Linked DNA regions of Schizosaccharomyces pombe. Changing the gene in region 3 together with the main gene of any one other region gives a genetic interaction. Each region holds a gene or a part of one and is shown on either strand. Other genes may lie near its edges.

Region 1 (3,481 bases), on a different chromosome or scaffold from region 3:
CGAACTGAAGTGACAAGCGGTGCACTAGATGTTGAAGAAGGTATAGATAATGTCTGAACGATCGGTCCTACTAATAACGCGACAACGTCGTTAGAATCGCCTCCATTTGCAGTATAACGGGTGTATAAAGCAGCAGCTTCGTAAAGTATTGTCGGCTCACTTCAATTTTAGTTAGAAAAATATATCTGACTGACTGAATTTGTTACGGCAATGTCCGTACAGCAACATTTATTGAGGAACGTACATTACAATCATGGAGTAACCTCTTTTACAATTAAACACTTACTATAGTCAGAAAGTGTAAATGTTGAAAGAGATGGGGAAGTAAGTGGATCGAAATTAATTTAGAGGACATCAGTATAAAGTAACGACCCAAGTAACGAAAGTTCAAGGCTTGCTGGAAAAAGGTAAAGAGGTGAATTACAGAAGATTCGATGGAAAAGACGATAACAAATATATATTGGTGAATGCTTCCAAGTTATTAAAGGGTAAAACAATTAAAGAAAAAGTCTCATGGGACTCTTTCGATCGATTCATCAATGGACATCCATCGATAATCGAATTCTCTAAAATACAACTTAACAAAAAATATTCATTTCAAGAGAAAACGCAGATAAAACAGAAAACTAAAAATAGAGAGAGTTTTTGTTTGTGTAGGGGCATCAAAATTGAGTATGAGTAGATTGTTGCAAACTTTCACTGCCAGGATAAGTGCGCAACAAATCATGCATAACAGCTTGTGCCGAAGCAATTTCAGTTTTGACTTGATCGACTTTTGAGTAAAGAAGGCTAATTTGGTTCCTCATACTTTGTGGGCTTGTGGTACCCGTTTCACTCGCCCTAGACGATGCACTAGAGGGAGTGTGTCGGTCTGGTGCAGGTAAACAAGAATCGTAAGGAACAGCAGTAAAGGTCAATACGGTGCTATTGGGGTTAGCATCTTGATTCATATGCGAGACACTAGAAGAAGAAGAAGAGAGAGAATTAGTAGTTGAAGAAGTTTTTGGTTTGCGGCGGAAGAAATATCGTTTTTCGGAGGGAACTGTCGCCACCGTTGTGGTAGAGTTACTTTTTAAAGATTTATAATTTAACAGCGATCTTTCCAAATTAAGGATCTGCTCCTGAAGTCGTTCAAGTCGAGCGTATTTTTGTTGCAAATCGATATAAGCGCTTACATATGCCTCATGAAAGACCCTGGTCTGCTTTTTTGTGAATTGAGTGGTCCAAGCATCTAAAACGTCGACAGTTAAGGGTTTATCTGCTTGTCCAAGTGAAGCATCCCCATGGGCGCTACTCTCGTTTCCTGAGGAAATTGACGAAAACGAAATGAATGAATTGCCACGGAAAAGTACAGCTCTCCTTGGCATCTTCAAAGCACCCTGAATGTGAGTAAATAAAAAAAAACGATTGAAATTACTCGAGCCTCGCAGAGTCCCAAGAAGTAGTTGGTTTTAGCACCAAATAATCTCTGGCCTACACTTAGTCACTATTGGTGGTGGTACCAGTCTATAATCAAGAAAATACCGCAGCTAAACAATGTGATAAACAACTTTATAAGGAAGTCCAGTTAAGTGCGTTAAAAAACTGAATATGCGCTGCTATACGATATTCTAATTTAAGATAGTTTACTAATATAGCAGGAAATAACTTGGTATACTAGATAATGAAATGTAACGCTCCTGTTAGTTACATTCTTTTCATGAGCTAGTTAGTTTACTATTGTTATAATTAATGGATGGTTTATTCTCCTAAGCAGGTTGTTATTGCTCTTCTACACAACTCCTGTGATCTTGGAAGAGGACTATTATTCGCGAATAATTGTAGAAACTGGTCAATTACGTTGTTGTTGATATTTTTTCGAAATTACTTGTTAATTAAAAGCCTCGATCATAAAGATTGTGCGCTTGAAACAAGCAATGTTCGGTTGGGCCGATGCGTAAAAGAATTGGAATTGGAGCTTTGAACGACGATGAATATCTAAAACAGTATGAAGAAGTAGGAAATGAACTTATTGAACAGCAGTCCGATGAAATTGCATCTCAACTCTCGACGTTTCAGGAAGCGCTGAAGACGTTTGCGAGAGAACATGCCACTGAGATAAAACAAAACTCTCAATTTCGAAATACATTTGTTAAGTTAGCTTTGAAAATTGGTTTAGATCCATTTGTTAGTGGTTCTGATGAGTCAGCTTGGGCGGCCGTGGGCATGAACGAATTCTATTATCAGGTCGCTGTACGAGTAATCGAAGTCTGTTATGCTACTCAAATGGAGAATGGAGGCCTCTTATCGGTCAGCCAAGTTTGTCGTTTTTTAAATGAAGAAAATGAAGCCTTTGGTCATGAATGGTTAAGAGAGACTGACGTTGTTCGAGCTGTCGATAGTTTGGCCCCACTTGGCCCTGGCTTTGTTCTTGAAAAAATTGCAGGTAAACAGTATATCCGGTCCCTTCCTTTAGAGCTCAACACCGACCAAAATGTTGTTTTAGAGGCTGTAGAGATATTGGGCTATGTAACAATATCTATTTTACGGGACAATTACGCTTGGGAGCGTAGCAGATGCATTCAAGTATTGGTACGCAGTTAAATTATAAAAATATCTCAAAACATTTGCGACTAACCAAATAATTTAGAATGATTTAGTTTCAAAATCATTACTCTGGATTGACTCCCAGGGGGTGGAGATGGCCTATTGGGGTGCAAGCAATCTTATCGACGACCAGGCGCAAAGGTTTTTATACGAAAATTTCTAATGCCTTTTTATCAAGACTACCTAGAATTTTGGGGGAGGTTGACCTGCTTGTTTACAACCGTTCATAGATAGTCAACCCTACGCTTAATTTTGCCAGTCTATATATTAATTCGTAAAAGCATCTAGTAACGCTGTGATAAAAGTCAAACTAATGAAGAATAAAACTTTGAATTCGATGAAGAAAACGTAATATGTAATATATATATATATGTATATATGTTTGAGAAAAAAGTTTGGGTTTAGAAGAATTAAGAAGTAAAAGAAACTGAAGCACGAAAACCGAAAAAAGGAGAGACATAAAGTATGAAACTGGAAAAGATAATATGTACAGGTATAAGAAGGAGAAGAAGAAGAGAAGAGCTCGAAATAACGGGAAGTAGTGATAAACAACACAACAATAATTTAAGAATAATAATAATATAATAAAATAGAATAGAATCGGAGGTCATATTAAACAGCAAGACGCAAAGTTGTATGGACCTTGGAAAATGGAAACAAAATTAATTAGTAAGGGAAATTCCTTGGAAGAAAACAATCATTTTTTAAGTTTTAAGGGTCTTTGGTACCTCAAAGGAAGCAGGTGAATAAGGAGTAGTGGTAAATACAAACCGAATAGGCTCAAACCCATTTGTTTTTAGCTCATTAGTATCGTTATTCATACGTAAAAAATCAGGCTGCTTTTGAGGTAAAGGTAAAGTTATTAAGCTGCTCTGAGAACCAGAATGGTTGTAAT
Region 2 (4,032 bases), on a different chromosome or scaffold from region 3:
TTAGAGATCGATGCTGAGGAAAACGGATCTGCGTTGATGAAAAAATACATGGGAGAAGATTTGTGTGAACTTCAAGATGCCATCAGAATTTGCTTCTCCTGTTTCACTCTTCCCCAGCAAACAATGGAATCACCTTTTGCAACAAGTATGTCCAAAGCACCTGCTAAAACAGAAAGTCGAGGTTCAAATAGTTTTGAAGGAACATCAAGACTAGCAAACCTAGGTGCCAAACTCTTATGCCTTATATGGGCTATGCTTCCGAAGGGAAGATTTTTTGTTGTACATCTGACAGACGCTTTTCATTTTCTTAGCAAACTCGACGAACGTTTTTCAAAACTGAATGCGAAACAACAAGATCTTTTCTTTGGAAACTTAGGCGCCTCCAATCTCCGGTATTGCCTGAGCCAATATATACTTATGAAAGGAATAGGTATTGGAATTAACATACGCCATACACGTTGTGAGTTTACTAAACAGCTAACTCAACTTTTACCCACTTCCCTTCCGAAAAACAAAATCAGACAGAAGCTACATCTACGAGCATGGGTCTCATTTTTGGGTTCGGCCCTTCGTGAAAGTGATCGCAACTTTGATAAAGAGCTATTTTACACAACGTTGAAGCAGTTATACACAATGTATCAACAAACAGAATTAGTTGGTATTGATAGACCAATGGCAATACTCAAAGACATGCTTGTATTATTAGATATTTCAAAAAAATTGTCCTTGGATAAAATCGTTTAACTTAATAATTTAACTACAAATTAACAGAAGTCATTTGGCATTAATTGTGTATCCTAATATATATAGACTATATGTATCGTTTCAATGAATGAGGCTTTGTGTGGAAAATAATTATTATAATCATTAGTGATAACTAAGAAAATGAAATTTATATGAATAATATATAATAAACAAACGGGTAGATAGAAAGTAAATTAATTATTACCGAAAACGAAATGAAACATTTTGTGCAATAATTGTATGCTTGACCCCTTTATAAGATTTTTTATCTGGATGATTAAGCATCTTCAATGACTCTACTTTAAAATTATGAAGGGTTGATCCTTGAAGTTTATATTGTAAATCAAGGTGCTCAAGCTTAGAGTAGCTACTTGACTCTTCGGTTGAATTGGCATCTTTCTTTAAGGGGGCCAGGAATCCTGTCAACACTAAGGCCGGGGATGTCCAAGCTAATTTTTTTACCGACCACTCCAGAATACCTTCTTCCATATGAGTATACTTGGAAGCACGAAAAATATAATTTCCCTCGGTAACCGTAACGCTCTTTAGAGCTTGAGGAATAGTTATTAGGATTTTTAAATTTTCAACGGATTTTTTCCCGGTGTTTCGAATACGTACTTCGAACCTTCCATCCAACTTATTTTTTGCTTCAACAACAACAGGCAAAGATTTCTGGGTAGCAAAGTCTGTTTGAAAAGAAGCTAATGTAAATTTTCCGTCCGGTGGAATGAATTCAATCTGATCCGGATGTTGTTTCCATCTTTTTAAATTGACTGACTGGTGGAACCGAACATTCCCTAGTTTTGTGCCGGGTCTCAAACTCAGCAAAAGTAAAGGCATACCAGATATTTGACATTTGCATTCCATATCACTTTTAACTGTGCCAAAAGCAAGTTTTCCGTTAGGCTGGTAAACGGCTGATACGCGTTCAAGTACATGAATAAAAAATTCATTGGTTGCATATTTTGCTTTAGCTGTTCTCCAAGGAACGGTATCTCTTGCAAGAGTCGGTGTATTTCTAAATCATGCGGTTAGCACTGCAAAAACAGAAAACTAAATAACATACGTTTGTAGACCAGTAACTGCCATAAACTTATTCATAAAGCTAGGGAGTGGTACAATGTCCTGCAATGCATTTGGTTCCATACAAGTTGCATATCCATAATCAATCATTTCAGCTAATAGCTGGACAATAACGCAAACATTTTTCTCGACCTTTGAAGCATTAAACCCACCAAAAAATGTTTTAACTACATCCACAATGCGTCTCATAATATCATGAATGTAGAGAGGCTCAGTGTCGCAAGTTGTAGGAATACACAAACGCACATCTTCCTCTAACTCTTGAAATATCAAAAAATTTTTGTTATGTAATATAAATGGAGGCTCCTCATTTCGAAGTTTGTAGCGAAAAAGTTCGTTTTTTATATGTTCTAACGTTATGGGAGATGTCCTTCCTCGAGACTCCAACTGGAGTAGTAACGCCCTAGTCAACTTGATTAATAAAGTAAATAAACAGCTAACGCATACCCATTAGTGTCTACAAGATATATTGCTTCTATTGTGCTCATTCAAAAGTTTTATGAAAGGAGCGGTTGGTTGGTGATGAATACGTATGAAGGTAAATGGATTAAGAAGGTCTTCTAGTGTACAGGAAAGGGTAACCATAGATGTCCTTTCTCAATCTTTTTAAAGCCTAATTTATAAACAATTTAAGTAATTAATAGTAATTAAGCCATGCTACTGTTGACATGCTAAACCGTTTAAATGGGTTGCTAAAAGGTACGCAGGAACCTCAGGTTGAAAAATTAATTAGATTAAACAGAAAACCACCTTTCATAAATGTCGTAGATTAAGATACTTGTAAAAAATATATATATATGACAAATAAATATATCACAATGAACTTTACGCTTTGTGTAAATATAGCAAAAAGCATTATATATGAATCAGCAAGGATGTATGTGTACTTGATGCCCATTTTTGGTAAATTTACACAAAGGTAAAGTAAGAGATAGAGAGCTACTATTGTCTACATCAGTATTAGAACGTTTTAGAAGTAAAACTGTGCATTTTTCCTCATTTTTTTCAGCTTCAACTAGATATATGTCAGAGAGAAATCGATCGAGAACTTTAATGGAAGAAAGTTGCACAAGCTCAGTTTCAGATGAACGATGAACACGATTGATATATCTCTTCTCGAGATCTTTTGTGCACTGGAAAAGTGATTTTTGTTTACTAGATGCAGGGGAAGACACGCTAGAACTCAAGAATGACGGTTTAGATGGTGGAGTACCCATGTGATGAATAGAATATTTAGCCAGATGTGTTGAAATAGGCGACTTCATCTTGGCGTTTTTTATTCTCTGAGATTCTGGAGACAGGTAGCGCAATGCTCTAGGGCTTGACTGACCGATATTGGTAATTTTAGTCGGAGATGTTGGAAGCTCTACGTTGTATGTAGAGCTAGCAAATGGTTTTTGAGAGGAGCTTTGAGGATGTCGAGCAGGCTTTCTTTCATCCTCTGATGAAGAAGAAAATTCATCAATGTCTTCATCCAAACCCCGACGCTTTCTGACTAGATTGGAAGACTTGCCATTGAACGATTGATCCTCAACATCTTCAATTGCTTCCATAGACAGCGCCATTCTATGAAGTTTCTCCTTTTTCGCGGAATTAAATCCAAAAGCTTTGCTACCTGCTGAAGCTGAGGTAGCTTCATTTTGAGATGCGCTTTTTCGAGGATTGTATTTGACTTTCTTGGAACTCATGTATAATAGCGTTGCGGCATGATAAATTGACAATAAATTGAATTTCAATAATCCTAATATATGGATACAAAGGAAATTTTGAGCTTAAACGTAAAAAGCTGGCACAACATTGATATAAGTGAATGACTTGTGGTGAGAGCAGACAACGATCATGCGAGTGTAATCAGCACTTTACTGTATGATCGGCTGTATTAAATACGAAGTAGTGGAAAAAAAATAATAATTTTTGGTTAACAAATACTTTAGTCATTTGGTTAAACAAAATAGATTTTTTCGTCCACAGACCCATTTTAGTTATGGAAAATATATATATATATTTTTTTTTTCGAAAAGAGCAGCAATAAGGAATACGAGGAGGACCTACAAAACAACACGGAGTAATTACGAGATTAAATTACGAATAATAAGTACGTTGGGTATTAAACGAAGCAGAGAAAATATAATAAAATAGCATCATATTGAGCAAAGCAACAAGAACTTCAACCACACTGCAATAGTTTGCAACTCAGAAGAGAAA
Region 3 (4,661 bases):
GATACGAAAGGCTGGATCATTTAGTGAACGAAGTCGCAAGTGAAATACTTGTTCATTATTATGTTCTGGTAAAAAAACCAACTTTTATTACTACAGCAGGAAAACAAACAAAAGTAACATATTGTTGGCAGAAAACACACAACCGAAAAAAACCTGTCTACTAGGAAATGGATCATTTTGATACTTCTGATCCGTTAGATACATTGCAGAACAAAAGATCGACCGAAAGGTTATCAATGACAAAATCTCTCTGGACCCTTTTGTTCTCATCTCTATTCTGTCCAAACCATCATCATCTAGTTCAATTCTTCTTGGACTCTGGTTTGGATGGAATAGTCAAACATTTAATGCCGTACTCTTCCGTAATCATGGCAATGACATGTGCAACAAAGTTGCCGTAAACACCAATGCAAATTCCAACGTAGCAAAAAAAGTATTCCGTCTGAACGTTTTTTAATACGCCAAAAGTATAGGCGTCCACGGCATCCACCAAGAATGGAAGAATAAGCACATTCCAGTATGGGAAGGGAGATTCGGTAATGTGAGAAACAATTACCACTCCAACCGAATAAGCAAAGATAAAAGCGTTCAAGCAAAAAATAGTGAGGAAATGATGTTCAAAGAAAGCAGGATACTTGGCATAGAGTGAAAAGACAGCCATCCATTGGAGGAAATAGGGAAGGATACCACTCAATGCTTTAATCACACTTCCGTTGTTCTTTTGGACGGCTTGAAGAGCATTTCGTAAACTTTGTAAGACATTCAATAGCAGGGCAAATGCCATAAAGTTGTACAAGCATGATCCATATGTGTAGTATGGCAGAAAGGAACGTACAAATCCCCATGACTCGGGAGTGGGATGTAGCTTGAGCCAGAAAGAATCACCCTTAATAGCTGTAAGGGCAAATAGTCCAATAACCATTACAATTCCTTCGACAGGACCCGAGAAGTATGAAAGGTACAAAGTACCCGTATGGTATTCTTCCCAAGTAGAGATGTAAAAGTATAATAAGCTGGCAAATTGAGTAAGGATTGAGCTAAACATATCTAGTTGCAGCAGTTCAATCGTCAGTAAAACTTCAAAGCTCGTATTGATGGCGTCTACTCCATGGTCAAATAATTGACCTAATGGAGATGATGTGCCAGTACGACGCGCTTGCGAGCCATCAATAGCGTCAAAACTTTGGTAAAGAAAAAGGCCAATCGCCCAAGAAGCATACACCCATGATGGGAAAGCATCCATCTCATAATGATACTTGTACACAAGCATAGTAAGGATATTGATAACAACGAATCCAAGCCCGATCAAAGTAATCAAATTAGGTCTAAGTAAAGAGTTAGTAAGAATAAGCAAGCAAACGGGTGTAGATCATACGCCATAGACATGGGAATCACCTTCAAAAGTTGATTCCACCAGTACGGCTTCAAAATATATTTTGAAAGAAGTGAGTTATCAATCGCACTATATTTATAGTTATGAAGATTCTTTAACTGCTTCCGGTTTAACTGCATCTTGAGAAACTACCTGGATATCCTTTCCTTATTCTCCGATAAAGTACTGGTAGAGGGTAAACATGTTACGCGTCTTAGTGTGTAGAAATAAAGGCAAAGCAACGAATGCAGATAAACCTTCTACCGATAAATAAATGTATAATGTAGCTTGCAAAAAAACTTGCACTATAACTATCTTTTAAATTCTAAATTGTAAGGATAATTGTTGCTATCAACCGTTTTGATGTTATTTGTCCATCCGCAGTGGATTACGGATGCCCTAGGCAACAACTGTTTAGAGCAGCAAGGTCGCCCTAAACTTTTATAAACTTCTATTGAATTTCAATAGTCCTTTCTTTTCGCTTGTCCATCGCTTCATCTGCCTTGTGCGACAAGTGTCCTTCCACCACTACCTTTTTCTGCATAAGTCTCACATATGAGTTCTTTAATGGAATTCCAAGACAGAAATACGACAAATAATGAAACAGAACACCAAAAAAGCATCACTGATCAAAGTTCATCGGTCCCTGCAGGGGTAATTTTACCTCCTCCAGCAATTCGAGGTGAGTCATAGTAATTAGTACAATAGACGCGCCTGCTAACGTAGCTTAGAAATAATTGATAAATCTGCTAGTTACGTTGCCAGAAATGGCCCAGCTTTTGAAGAAAAAATTCGCCAGAATGAACAGGCAAATACTAAGTTTGCTTTCTTGCATGCTAATGACCCCTACCACCCATATTATCAGCACAAATTAACTGAAGCGAGGGAGGGAAAATTGAAGAGTCATGCCACAGGCTTGTCAACCCAAAAAACATCCACTTTGGCTCGTCCCATTCAAAAACCTATAGAGGCAACTATTCCTGCTCCCTCACCGTACTTGTTTTCAGAACCACTTCCTTCTATTTCATCACTAGATTTGTAAGTATCATCTCAACTATTATTTCCTTCTTCTTTGAAGTTGCTAATTAACCGTGAATCTAGAGACGTGCTCCGTTTAACTGCGCGATATGCGGCAGTTCGTGGTTCTTCTTTCTTAGTGAGTCTTTCTCAAAAAGAGTGGAATAACACTCAATTTGATTTTTTAAAGCCAAATAATGCATTGTACCCTTACTTTATGCGTATAGTTCAACAATATACTTCTCTAATTAGAGAGCCCATTTCTTCGCCAGAACAGGAGCTTCGTGAAAATGTGAGAGACCCTTATAGCTTACTTTCTAAAATTCAGCCGCGTGTAAGGTGGCAATCGCATATGGAGAGCCAAAAGAAAAAACAAAAGGAAGAAGCCGAAAAAGAGAAGTGTAAGTGTATATTGAGATGCAAAAACTGGTTCAGGAAGTCCAATATTCTTCATTTACCATTTGAATTGGAACTAACTTGTCTTAGTGGAATATGCACAAATTGATTGGAACGATTTTGTCGTTGTTGAAGTGATTCAATTCACAAAGTCCGATGAACATGCAAAATTAGCTAAACCTACGAATTTAGCGGATTTACAAACTGCTACTTTAGAACAAAAGTCTGCCATGTTTACCATGCCTGACCAAAATTACACTATTGAGGAAGCTCCTCCTACAGCGGAGCCTTGGGAGCCCATAAGTGCGCCTAAAAAACAAGAATTTGGTGTTTCTCTTCCTCCATCACTTGCTTCTCCAGAAAAAGGAGGTATTTCTTCAACTACTTCAGTTTCTCCTGCCGCACAAGCTTCTCCCGTTTTGTCTACCACTACTCAGCCGAAGGTACAAAAGCCAGTACCAAAGGGTAAGTTTATATTCCTTATTGTAACTTTACTGACCCTGTTTAGCTTTCCAGCCCAAAGTTCCGATGGAGATATCGCCTTTCTCAGGTGAATTGGTTCCCGCTACAGAACTAGAAGAGCATATGCGTCTAAAATTACTTGACCCTCGCTGGCAGGAACAGCGCAAAGTTGAAGAATCTAGGAAATCAACTTTAAATTTAGAGAACGTGAACGTTGCTGCAAATATGAAAAGATTGGTTAGTCAACGGACTGATTTGTTTGACGTCCAAAACGGGGTAGAAATCTCTCAAGAGGAAATCGAACGAAGAAAACGTGCTGCTACTCAGAGCGCTTGGGGAGCAACTCCCACAAATAAACGCCGGTAGATTTCATAGAACTTTTTTTAATTTTGTTAATTTTTACTTTATTTTATTTAAGCTTCGTAGGACGCCGAAATCTATTAGTTAATTTGCTTCTACAACTCGTGAAATAAATAAGATGTAAATAAACCAGGTGTTGTAGACTTTCTCCAACTAATTGAGAATACAAATATTCTTTATTATAAAAAGTCCAATACACTAAACAAAGCTGGATTTTAACTTAGGAAATGCGGGTCTGGTTTTCATACCCGCCCACCGTCATCCTTAAGTTGTCATACCACGTAACCGCACAAACCTCTTAATTTTTTACTTCTTACATTGTTGATTCTTCATTTATCGGCTTTAATAAATGCTACATACTATCAATTATAGATCTTGGCATTTGGCTGCCAGGCAGTTAGGGCGTTCAACGTTTCGAAAGTTTACGACCGAATCGTCTACTAAAAGCCCTATTGCAGATGTTTGTTTCGCATTTGAGTAATACAGTAATTAATGATCGATTTTTGAAACTAACCAAAGCAGTATTGATGGAGTTTTAATTAGAGGAGGAAGAGGTTTGAAAGAAGGAACGAAGACGTAAGCTTAACTATGAACTACCATTTTCAAACTAACTTGTAAGTTTGAAATTTTTGCAAAAAAATAATATACCTTTTATTCTGTTAACGAATGGAGGTGGTATGCATGAGAGTGTTAGAGCTCAGCGTCTTTCCAAGACATTGAGCGTAAGTTTAACAGAGGATGATTTTTGTCAATCACATACCCCCTTTCGCGCTCTTGCGGATAAGTATAAGCACGTCTTGGTTCTTGGAGGAAAAGACAACAGCGTCCGTGAAACTGCTGAAAAGTATGGGTTTAAAAGTGTTATCAATGAACTCGATGTCATCGCAAAGTTAGGAACTCCATTTTGGCCTTTCACATCTTTTAACGAAGAAGATATTAAAGATGCAAAAGACTTTGACGTTACTAGACCCATTGAAGCAGTTTTCACTTATGTCGATCCTGTCCGACTTGGTTTGGATCTTCAATTGGTGATGGAATTGGGCCAGTCGAAGAA
Region 4 (4,142 bases), on a different chromosome or scaffold from region 3:
GAAGAGTAAATTATAGACCAACTTATAAAGGCTGAGCTCTTAACGGAGACATTTTGGCCAGAACATACATTTGAATTCCAATAACTTGTTTTCAAATAGTGCTTTTTTCTTTTTCCTTCTTTCTTTCCATATTTTTGTTATTGGTTTGGAAAAAAAAGGGAGTAGGAATAGGATGATAGATAATATGAATAGGAAAAAAGTATGACTTTCAATATAAAGGTAAGGACAGTGATAAAGCAAGCCCCCTTTATGGAGTCTATTACTGAATTTGATTTATGAATGAGTTCTAAGGATTATTGTATAAAATAGGAATTTTAGTTTCAAAGAAAGAAAAAGATAAGAAAACGTAAAACATCAGATGCAAGAAAGAAACAGGAAAAAAAGAATAAAGGCACATACGAACATCTTTTTTTAAAACAATTTATAGCACTCCAAGTTCTTTTTGGGCTTGAATACGCAATTCCTCATCAGCGGCTTCATACAGAATTTTTTCGGTTTGCCAACGTTGCGAAATAGAATCAATGTCCTTGGGAATATTATCAATTATGCTGTGAATTTTTTCGTTTTCAATTATTTCATTGCAAGTTTGGAATATAAACTGATTCCATCCAGGCTGCAATGAATTGGCAGTTTTGGCAATATCCATCAACTCCAATTCAGTTTCCTTTTCCAAACGACCAAACTTACGAATTAGCTCGTCACCAACGCCGCCGCGGTTGAGCAAATTATTCAATGCCATTCTCGATACTTTAAGCTTCATCAATCGACGAAGACCTTCTGTAGCCCGTAAAACGAGAGCAGCTTTCAAAAGTGTATCCTCGGCAGGTGGATTCTGCTGCAAAAGACTGAAAAATATATTTCTAGAATAATTTTCTCCAAACCATTCTTCTGATACTGGTTTTGATTCCTGATTTTTGGATTTTCGCACAAAACGAGAAACTCCATACATAGAGCCCATTAAAATGGTAATATATATCAAGGGAACGTAAATCGACACCATATTGAATTAATTAACACGGCCAAGTATGTAAAGCAAGCAGGGACCTTTTTCTTTAACAACTCGTATACCCTTTTTGTATTATTTGTTTTTTGCAGAGTGGACTGCAAATATGTATATGAGATATAACTTCGAGACCAAATGAATGCAAGACCAGTTTAGGTGTGAAAGGAGAATAGTGTGTTTTCTGGAATGCTTTATATTTTATAAGGTTGATGTAATTTTCTGTTATTTGTAGATAAGAGATATTTATGTTTTCTTAAAGACGCTAAAATATTTTACGCGATGCGCTATTAGATAAACAAATCGATCGGATATTGTTCAATTGTTTGTTTAAACTCAGGTAAAAGTTTTTAGAATTAGAAATGAAAAAAATTTACTAATAGGGAACTAGGATAATAAACAATTGAGCATTTTAGAAACAGATTTTGCGACCATTGTGAAAACTGACGAAACATATAGTTAGGAAGACAAAAACACCTCATTTATGAAATTATTTCTTTTTTTCAAGTATACAAAGGATCTTTGTATGTTCTTCTATATTGTTTCTGTAGTTTTATTAGTATTTTTACATATCGAGGCATTGGCATTCATTTGTTTTATTTACAGCCAATTAATAAATTCCCTTATTTTGATATAAGCTTTACAGTCTCGCTTAACTTGAAAACGCTATGATGTTGTGTATTCAGTTACAATAAATAGTGACATACAATAGTCGCTCAAATATATCTGGTTATATTTTATATTAAATAATTTTGCCAACTGATTTATCTTGGGTTGATTTTTCTTATTCGTGAGATTTAGATAGCCGTTCATGATGTTTTTCTGCATACAATGCATATTAGTGGAAAATGCGTTCGATTTCCTTATACTCATACAATCCTTTAGACCGTCGAAAGCGGAGTGGTATCACTTTGGTATAAAAAGGTAGTCTTAATTAACCTACCACTAACGTATATTTTCATTAACAAAAAAAAAGTTTATTATCATTATTCAAGATGGCTAAAAGATCCATATTTCGTTTTGCTGATGAAAAGGGCTTGAAGGTCGCTGCCCGTTATGGAGTCCTTATGTCAACTAGTTTTATTTTTGCTTTACTTTTCCACAGCGTATGTTCCAATCAAATTTCTATTTTATTCTAAGATTATTCATTTGAAAATCAACTTTCATTTGATATCAATTTCGTTTAGCTTTTGGAGACAAAGGGAGCAGAATATGAGAAATTATAAGTCGGTACTTTGAGTGAATTCTGAATTTGTTTTACAAAACATGCATTGTTAAAATAAATCTGGAAAATTATTTTATCAGGAACGTTTCTAAAAAGGAGCTTTTTGTCTGTTTAAGTTTTCATAATCGGATACGAGCATTCATCTTACCGCTCAATGTTTGCCGCGCTGCTCATTTTTCTGTTGTTCTTATGTTTTTGGAGCTTCACTTCGAATTGATTACTTTGTTCATAGTCTTTATTTTCTTAGCATAAATTACTAATGTCATTTAGAGCGTTGCCGATGTGAATACCTTATGGAGTCCTGGCCCTGAGTCTGCTTTCGATGCTGCTGAAACTTACTATACTTTGGTGGCTGGATCCCATTTCATTGTAAAATATACTGTATATACCATCATGGGACTTAATATGATTTTCCATCTTATTCAAGCCACTGGCGCTAAAGGTGATGACAAATTGTTCTTTTACTCTAGCACGCTTCTTTATCTTACTGCACTAATTTTGTTTATTGTTAATGTTGCTCCTTCTATGTTGGTTGTTAAGCTACAGAATTATGTTCAATTCCCACGAAATATGCACTTGTCCGTTCTTGCTGCTTCTCATGTTCTTGTTGAATTTCTTCTTGCTGGTGTCATTCTTATTCAACTTGGATACGTTTTCGGATATCATGTTCAAAGTATCCAGCAGCGCGAATACGCTGAAGATATGAGGGAGCAAGAATTAGCTGAAAAGGCTAAATTGGAATCCGAGTCTGCTACTACTCAGAGTGTAGAAACTGTTTCCACCGAATCTGTTTCAAAGCGCAAGTAAACAAACCACTTGGGTCTAATTTTACAACTTTTGGAATAGAGTGAACTATTTTATATCTTGCTAATTATTGTTGCTAGTCCGTCATCAACTCTTTGACGCAAAGTTTATGTCTAACTAGAAAGCAAAGAGTGACTTGCATTGACGGTAACTGGGAAAGCTTACATGTGTATTCATACGTACAATTATATATATACAAGATTTATACTGTCTTATATAAGAAATAAATTGACTTGAATTTTCGATAGAGGAATAGTTCGTTATGTTTGGATTTAGAATAGTCTTTAGCACACTTATACTTCTTAATAATTAAATATGTACTCATTGTGCAAAAAGGATTATCACAAGTGAAGCTTTTGTGAGATTGTATATTCTTCTATACTATGGATGCATAAACAAAGTCTCATTTTAGATGGGTTTTACGCTGCAGATACAGCAGAAGCGCCATACAAATATACTAAGTAAAATCTCAAAGTTCAAATGCTCAATCGATTTATTGTGCTAATTATCGATGTTTAATTCACTTTTTAACAACTAATAAATAGGTAACAATGTTACTTGTTCGTATAGCTTACTTGACTGCATAGCATCAGAATGATAATTGTAACTAGCTTCAGCGAATTTGGTAAGTTGGACTAGTTGGTTAGTTATTACCTTTTTTTTCTTTCTTCTGTGTTTCTCTAATCTCAACCCTACTGTAGACGGTAACTTTTTCAATTCATTCGTTCGGGTCATTTTTTGATCAAAATGTTGCAACTTTTCATTTATAGCCCAGGACTTGGGCAACCAACGATGGATCCTGGATGCTTAGCGGCATTAATTTATTGCGCACTTGCCGTCCCAAAGGACGAAATTGAAATTCTTCGCACTGCAAATTCAGGTATGAGCCCTACCCATAAGCTACCAGCTTTGTGGGATGGTCATGTTTGGATTGGATCTTTGAAAAACATTTTAATATACTTGAAACAGAAGGGCTATAATTTGGATAATTTTGATGCGAAACAGCTGGCCAATGTTATGGCCTTCACCAGTTTATTGGAAGGTTCCGTCAATGACCTTTGGTTATTAGAAGCCTTTGTTAATGAGGAAAATTTTGTTGAAGCAATAAGACCT

What was found.
Region 1: mutations in sap114 (region 3) and mug166 together harm fitness less than expected from each alone (positive genetic interaction), as found in Schizosaccharomyces pombe (one large-scale study listed by BioGRID).
Region 2: mutations in sap114 (region 3) and apm3 together harm fitness more than expected from each alone (negative genetic interaction), as found in Schizosaccharomyces pombe (one large-scale study listed by BioGRID).
Region 4: mutations in sap114 (region 3) and shr3 together harm fitness more than expected from each alone (negative genetic interaction), as found in Schizosaccharomyces pombe (one large-scale study listed by BioGRID).

What each region holds. Positions count from the first base shown.
Region 1 is NC_003423.3:1,245,370-1,248,850, reverse strand, and holds mug166 (protein mug166), read right to left. Parts: upstream 1,454-3,481; 5' UTR 1,368-1,453; coding exon 663-1,367; downstream 1-662. Other genes in the region: SPOM_SPBC651.07 (uncharacterized protein), read right to left, coding at 1-159, 245-255; ESCRT II complex subunit Dot2, read left to right, coding at 1,933-2,571, 2,630-2,749; SPOM_SPBC651.04 (uncharacterized protein), read right to left, coding at 3,291-3,481.
Region 2 is NC_003423.3:1,258,326-1,262,357, forward strand, and holds apm3 (AP-3 adaptor complex subunit Apm3), read right to left. Parts: upstream 2,349-4,032; 5' UTR 2,316-2,348; coding exon 2,275-2,315; intron 2,231-2,274; coding exon 1,811-2,230; exon of another isoform or gene 1,763-1,810; coding exon 946-1,762; 3' UTR 864-945; downstream 1-863. Other genes in the region: Smc5-6 complex non-SMC subunit Nse5, read left to right, coding at 1-744; protein dbl7, read right to left, coding at 2,694-3,515. UniProt on the Schizosaccharomyces pombe protein: Part of the AP-3 complex, an adaptor-related complex which is not clathrin-associated. The complex is associated with the Golgi region as well as more peripheral structures.
Region 3 is NC_003424.3:1,171,422-1,176,082, reverse strand, and holds sap114 (U2 snRNP-associated protein Sap114), read left to right. Parts: upstream 1-1,634; 5' UTR 1,635-1,927; coding exon 1,928-2,054; intron 2,055-2,103; coding exon 2,104-2,410; intron 2,411-2,473; coding exon 2,474-2,790; intron 2,791-2,875; coding exon 2,876-3,250; intron 3,251-3,293; coding exon 3,294-3,613; 3' UTR 3,614-3,732; downstream 3,733-4,661. Other genes in the region: ept1 (CDP-alcohol phosphatidyltransferase class-I family protein), read right to left, coding at 302-1,325, 1,376-1,512; cardiolipin synthase/ hydrolase fusion protein Crd1, read left to right, coding at 3,957-4,084, 4,127-4,183, 4,227-4,661. UniProt on the Schizosaccharomyces pombe protein: Involved in pre-mRNA splicing. May be involved in endoplasmic reticulum-associated protein degradation (ERAD) and required for growth at low and high temperatures.
Region 4 is NC_003423.3:1,173,719-1,177,860, reverse strand, and holds shr3 (chaperone protein Shr3), read left to right. Parts: upstream 1-1,947; 5' UTR 1,948-1,995; coding exon 1,996-2,106; intron 2,107-2,495; coding exon 2,496-3,032; 3' UTR 3,033-3,381; downstream 3,382-4,142. Other genes in the region: translocation subcomplex subunit Sec66, read right to left, coding at 422-1,000; mtx1 (metaxin 1), read left to right, coding at 3,777-4,142. UniProt on the Schizosaccharomyces pombe protein: Involved in amino acid permease processing and required for the efficient translocation of structurally related amino acid permeases from the endoplasmic reticulum to the plasma membrane.